2 linked regions of the Mus musculus genome follow. The protein of the gene in region 1 interacts with the protein of each later gene in a pairwise test. Links are inferred from orthologs where the notes say so. Each region holds a gene or a part of one and is shown on either strand. Other genes may lie near its edges.

Evidence for each region.
Region 2: the proteins of Naa10 (region 1) and Kifap3 interact in binary tests that used the Homo sapiens proteins (3 or more experiments, as listed by UniProt). The two-hybrid records come from large-scale screens. The link is inferred for Mus musculus from reciprocal best matches to the Homo sapiens genes NAA10 and KIFAP3.

The regions. Positions count from the first base shown.
Region 1 is NC_000086.7:73,916,286-73,919,183, reverse strand, and holds the end of Naa10 (N-alpha-acetyltransferase 10), read left to right. Parts: intron 1-1,231; exon of another isoform or gene 1,232-1,256; coding exon 1,257-1,341; intron 1,342-1,897; coding exon of another isoform or gene 1,898-1,988; coding exon 1,989-2,225; 3' UTR 2,226-2,314; downstream 2,315-2,898. UniProt on the Homo sapiens protein: Catalytic subunit of N-terminal acetyltransferase complexes which display alpha (N-terminal) acetyltransferase activity. Acetylates amino termini that are devoid of initiator methionine.
Region 2 is NC_000067.6:163,859,414-163,863,236, forward strand, and holds part of Kifap3 (kinesin-associated protein 3), read left to right. Parts: intron 1-2,541; coding exon 2,542-2,707; intron 2,708-3,297; coding exon 3,298-3,423; intron 3,424-3,823. UniProt on the Homo sapiens protein: Involved in tethering the chromosomes to the spindle pole and in chromosome movement. Binds to the tail domain of the KIF3A/KIF3B heterodimer to form a heterotrimeric KIF3 complex and may regulate the membrane binding of this complex.

The sequences.
Region 1 (2,898 bases):
TCCAGGAAGCATGTAATAACAGATGAAAGGGGACAGCAGGGAAAAGGAGCCATGAGCAAAAGCAATGAGGGAACTAGTGCTCTGAGTGTTCTGGTGGCTGAGGGCAGGTCTACTGCAAACATGGGCATCTCCATGAAGAGAGGACTTGGTAGTACCTAGTGCTACTGGAAAATGGGGCTGGAGTAGACTAACTTGAGAAACCACTGAACCACACTAGACTTGGAGGGTGTCCAGTGAAGATGACACCATTGGGACAGGGTAGTAGTCTTCAGCTTTTCTGGGTTCTACATCCAGATTCATGGAGGGCTCTTTGACGTAGTTAAGACGCCTCTGCAACAGGAACTGCTTTAGCTGCTAAGTCAGCAGTTTCCAGCTGGGTATGGTAACACACGCCTCTTAATCTCTGCACTCAAAGTAGACGACTATGGCTTGGAGTTCCAGCATAGTGAGTTCCAGGTTAGTCTCAACCACATAGCAAGACCCTGTCTCAATTAAGCTTAATTGTGAGGACGTGTGTTTGATCCCTAGCACCCATGCATAAAAGCCATATACAGTGCCCCGCACCTGTTATCCTAGTGCTGAAGAGGTTAAGACAAGAGAGTCCCTGGGGTTCACTAATCAACCAGCCTAGTTGAATGGACAAGTTCCAGATTCAGTGAGAGACCCTATTTTGAAAAAATAAAAATAAGGTGGAAAGCAACTGAGGAAGATACCCAACATGTACCTCTGAAGACTGGCAAGGAACCTTCCTAGGTCATCAAAGGGCTTCCCTTCCAGTGTCAGGGCTACTCAAGTGTGCACACACACCTCCCTCCCCTCCCTCAGCCATCTGGTCAGTAACCAGGTTGTCTATGCTGACTATCTACATGCAGGTACAGTGTCCCTTTTTCCTAGCAGAGGAACTGGCTATGTGCTCAGTAAATGATAAGAAGCAGGTCAGGGAGAGGAAGAAGCAGAACTAGGGGCTTCAACTGAAAACACAAGTCCTTGCTGGTCAGGCTAGGGACAAAGTGGTAGCAAGTCTAGGAATGGGAAGTACCCTGGATGCTACATGCTGCTCGGCTTCACTGGAAAAGCAGAGATAACTATCACAGCAGTTGGACAAGAGTTCATTCAAATGAAAAACAAAAAGGAGAAGCCCATTCACACTGGCTTTTTGCCTCTACAAAGGTTCTATGGGGGAGATGACATTTACCCCAGTAGCCTAAGAACCAGGAGAATTTGCCCCTAGGCATGTGTCTTGATCCTACCCCCAGGATCAGCGAAGTGGAGCCCAAATACTATGCAGATGGGGAAGATGCGTATGCAATGAAGCGGGACCTCACGCAGATGGCTGATGAGGTAAGAGTTCAGCCAGTCCAGGGCAGCAATTCCAGCAGCAGGGGAGATTCTGTACTTGGGAAAGGTGGCTACTTTAGAGCTGTGAGACTGAGTGAGGCAGTGGTGGCTAGAGGCAAGACCAAGATTGAGTGTCAGCCCTTGTCGTTGTAGAGCCCCTCTTTCCCTCACTTCCTAAGCTGTCAAGTTGTGACATGGCCTCTGTTGACTCTAGAGGGGGCTATGGGATGCTTTCTAGGGAAGAAGCCTGGAGGTGGGTGGAACAGGAGAGAGAGTAGGAAGATATTTTTCTAGGGAGAGGGACTACTAGGGTCAGGGGCAGCCTGCTCAGATTTAGGACTAAACTGGGCTAGGGGGAAAGGGTCTCTGACCAAGCCTCCTGGGGAGGTACTGCTCTGTCTTGGAGGCTCCCCAACAGCACATTTGAGGGCAATAGGACCTTTGTCATTTTACAGATGAGGAAAGCAGGCTTAGGGCAGAGCTAGGATTGAACTACATTTCTACCCAGTCCTATTTCTTGCCTTGGCCCTACCACTTCTCACTGTGTCCCTTCCCCCAGCCAGCCTCAGGGCCTGGCTCCTCTTGTCTCCTGTCTGGAGACTTAGGCCCTGTCTCTTTCCACCCGCTTCCCTCTGGGCTCCTGGCGGCAGCTGAGGCGGCACCTGGAGCTGAAGGAAAAGGGCAAGCACATGGTTCTGGCGGCCTTGGAGAACAAAGCGGAGAACAAAGGCAACGTGCTTCTGAGCTCAGGAGAGGCCTGTCGTGAGGAGAAGGGCCTGGCTGCTGAGGATAGTGGTGGGGACAGCAAGGACCTCAGTGAGGTCAGCGAGACCACAGAGAGCACAGATGTCAAAGACAGCTCAGAGGCCTCTGACTCTGCCTCCTAGAACCTGCCCCACCTGGTCCCAACCTTGCCCCATGTGCTTTTACAATAAATGTCACCCAGTGGCCTTGGGAAATTTGTGAATGTGCATAGTGGGGTATGCTTTTTTTTTTCCAGTTCCTATGTGTCAGGGATACTATCTTCACAGCCTAGACTGTATTGAGCTCACAAGTCAAAACAGATTTGAGGATGGGACCCCAAATCTGACTATCTTCAACAACTGAGTTGAAGTTGGCAGGTAAACTGTTTTGGGTGCTATATTCTTTTTTTGTTTTTTGTTTTTTTCTGGTTTTTCGAGACAGGGTTTCTCTGTGTAGCCTTGGCTGTCCTGGAACTCACTTTGTAGACCAGGCTGGCCTCGAACTCAGAAATCCGTCTGCCTCTGCCTCCCGAGTGCTGGGATTAAAGGTGTGCGCCACTACGCCCGGCTGGGTGCTATATTCTGATGTCACGTGTCTGGCCTATAGGCCTCATTAATGTCCTTTTTGTCCTAATGTAATTTTCTAGGGCTGAACAAAATGATTTCCTGGGCTTTCTAGTCAGCCTCACATTTCAGAGGCAGCTCTCCTACCTTGATGTTCTTTGCTGTACTGCTTTGCCCCCTTATGCCCCTCTCAGCCCTTTACCCTAGGTCATACTTGTTCTCATCAGTAGGAGCTTCTGGAACCCCAAATGCC
Region 2 (3,823 bases), on another chromosome or scaffold:
TCAATAGGGCAAAACCACAGACCGCAGAATGGGAAAAATATCTACAGCAACCCCACATCTGACAGAAGACTAATATTCAAAATATATAAAGAATTCAAAAAACTAGACATCAACAAACTGAATAATCCAATTTAAATGGATTATTTAAATGTGGTACAGTACCTAAACAGAATTCTTGACAGAGAAATCTCTAATGACCAAGACATTTTCAACATCCTTAACCATCTAGGAAATGCAAATTAAAATGACTTTGAGATTCCATCTTACACTAGTCAGAATGGCTAAGATCAAATGCTGGCAAGGATGTGGTGCAAGGGGACACTCCTCCACTGCTAGTGGGAGTGCAAACTCATCCAGACTCTTTGGAAGTCAATATGGTAGTTTATCCGAAAATTGGAAATTGATCTACCTCAAGACAGAGCTGTCCCACATGTGGGCATATACCCAAAGGATAATCCATCATATCACAAGGACACTTGCTCACTATGTTCATATCATCTTTATTCATAATAGCCAGAAACTTGAAACAACCTAGAAGTCCCTCAACTGAAGAATGGATTAAAAAAAAAGATGTGTACATTTAAATAATAGAATACTACTCAGCTATTAAAAACAAGTTCCTCATGAACTATGTAGGCAAATGGATGGAACTAGAAAATATCATCCTGAGAGAGGTAATCCAGCAGCAAAAGGACAAGCATTGTATAGACTCACCTACAAATGGATCTTAGCTGTAAAGAAAAAGATAATCATGCAACAAACCACCAACCCAAAGAGCCTAAGTAACAGGGAGTTACAGACTTAGAGAGGGGTCACAGGGAGTCTCTGGGGAAAGGGAAATAGAATAGATTTGGGGAGCGAACTGAGACAGGTGGAGTTGGGAACCGGAGGGATCAGATTCATGGGGAGGGAGGAAGAAAAGACTGGGAGAAAAGACTGGAATTGGAGGCCATTTGGGGGAAAGGTGAAAACCCAGTGCAATGGAGACTCGATGAAATTTACTAGAGAAACCCTAGCCAAGACTCTAATAATAGGGGACACTGAGCCTAAGTCAGCCATCTGCCTTAACTGGGCAAAAGGCCTCACTCAAATGGAGGGATTAGGACACCAACCCAGCTACAAAACCTTCATCCTACAACTTGCCCTGCCTGAAGAGTGTGCTAGGACGACAGCCTAGCAGAATCATTATTGAGAGACCAGAGACTTCATCCAGCAACTGAGGGGAGCAGATATAGAGTCTGACATTCAAACATTAGGCTGAACTCAGGGAGTCCTGCTGAGGAGGTGGATGGAGCGATTGGAGGAGCCAGAGGAGTCAGGAACAGACCAGGAGAACATGGCCCACAGAATCAACTGACTGGGACTCTGGGGACTTGAAGAGTACAGGGAGCCTGTAGGGGGTTTGACATAGGTCCTTGGCATATATGTTATGGCTGATTAGCTTGCTGTTCTTTTGGGAATCCTAACGTGGAAGTGGGGGCTGTCCCTGGGTCTCTTGCCTACTCATGGGACCCTGCTTCTCCTACTGAGCTGCCTTCCCCAGCCATGATGTGATGGGAGGTACTTGGTCTTGGTCGTATTGTAGCTTGTTATGTTGTGTTTGGTTGATGTCCCTGTGAGGCTTGCTCTTTTCTGAGGGGAGGTGGATTGGGAGGAGAGGAGAAGTGAGGGGAGAGAGGTGGAAGGGAGGGAGGAAGAGGGAACTGCAGTCAGGATAACCACCAACCAAAGAGCACACATGGTAGGACTCATGGCTCCAGCTGCATATGCAGCAGAGGATGGCCTAGTCGGACATCAATGGGAGGAGAGGCCCTTTGTCCTATGAAGGCTCTATGCCCCAATGTGGGGGAAGGCCAAGGCCAGGAAGAGGGAGCGGGTGGGTTGGTAAGTAGGAAGAGGGGGGAAGGGATAGGGGAGGGAGTTTTTTTGGAGGGGAAACCAGGAAAGGGGATAACATTTGAAATGTAAATAAAGAAAATATCCAATAAAAAATATTAAAGAATAATAAAAATAATATATGAAAGAATACAGATTAAATTAAATAAATAGATTTATTTTCAAGTAATGACAGTAATAGCTCTAATATGTATAAAGTAGTTACTGTATAGATCATAATTCCATTATGTGCCCTTTTAAATTATATTCTTAAAGGCAGCAGCCTGTTTTCAGAAATTGAAATATCCTTAAGGTTCACAACCAGTAAGTGATTGAGCTGTGACTTGAGAGCAAGTCTTTCTGAATCTGGGATCTACAGCTTTTAGGCATGAAGGAGAAAATAGCCCTTCCTTCTTTATCTATGCACCTTTGTACACAATTACCACTATCACTTATCTCAACATGGAGGGAGGGAGGGAGGGAGGGAGGGAGGGAGGGAGGGAGGGAGGGAGGGAGGGAGGGAGGGAAGCAGAACCCCTAGAGCTGATAATCAGACCTTAGCAAGTTAACTCAGTTACATGGAGAACTATGTTTCTGTTTGTGGGTTGAATTATTAGTTGGGCTCCTCTCCTAGATTCTAGCTCCATTGAAATTCTCTGTCCTCAGGATTATGTTGGGGACCTTGCAGCCCAGATTTCCAGTGATGAAGAGGAGGAGTTTGTAATCGAGTGTTTGGGAACGCTGGCAAATCTGACAATCCCAGATCTAGACTGGGAACTGGTCCTGAAGGAGTACAAGCTGGTTCCATTCCTCAAAGACAAACTAAAGCCAGGTCTGTGTTCATTGTAGAGCTCTGCATAAGCTCTAGGTTTGGATAAGATTCTAGCCCAGCATTGTGTGAGTCCACTGTTATAACTAGCATGCTCTTCTGACAGCTTTGTTTTGAGGACAATTTTCTGTAAATTCTGTATTTGTCCTAACAGTGGTTTCTTAACATTAGTTTCCCTCTCCTGTTTATTTTTCTATTTTTACCATATGTTTATTGATAAGTGTCCCCACCCCCATGTATACAGAAAGATGTGGAAGCACAAACACAAAATTCTTTGAAACATTGACAAGAGTCTTTTATTGTCTGTTTTTGTTATCTTTCAGTTGTATTTTCAAATATATATTTACACCTTCTATTGTCTCACCAAGTCAATAGGCCATCATGAATAAAAACAAAAAACAAAACAAAACAAACGGAGAAGAAAAGAAAAGAAAAAAAAAAAGACAAGTTTATAAGCATGTCAAAGATTGGTAGATCCATAGGGATGGATTTGAATCTTTCAGTATTTTTTTTCTGTGCACTCACATTTGATAGAACAAATGAGCTTGCTCCAACCACGTCAACAACAACCTTCCATGCCTTGATCCCGCCAGGTGCCGCAGAGGATGACCTTGTTTTAGAAGTGGTTATCATGATTGGGACGGTGTCTATGGATGACTCTTGTGCTGCCCTACTGGCCAAATCTGGGATAATCCCAGCCCTCATCGAGCTGCTGAACGGTAACTCTCATGCTCTGCCAACGCATACAAGATACTATTATACATTTTAACACATAAAATACAGTCTGCAATGTTATATAATATCTGTTTTCTTTCATTAATCATAGGATTAACTAAATTATGTAATTACAAAAGATAAACTAAACTAAGCTGCTGAGTTGGATTGGATAGAGTGATATGAAAGGCCTGGAGGTTGCTGTCGGGAACGTTACTGTGAAGCAGCTCTGGGCTGACTTCATGTGCTCCTCCCTCCTCTAACCTCCAACACTGCCTCACTTCTTTCTGTCTAGCCTCATCTCGGTTTGAGTTAAGTCTTCTCTATCTTGCAATCCTTGCTTCTTATATCTTCACTTCTAGGTAAGAATGTTAACTTCAAAACTGATCCTAAACATCATATTCT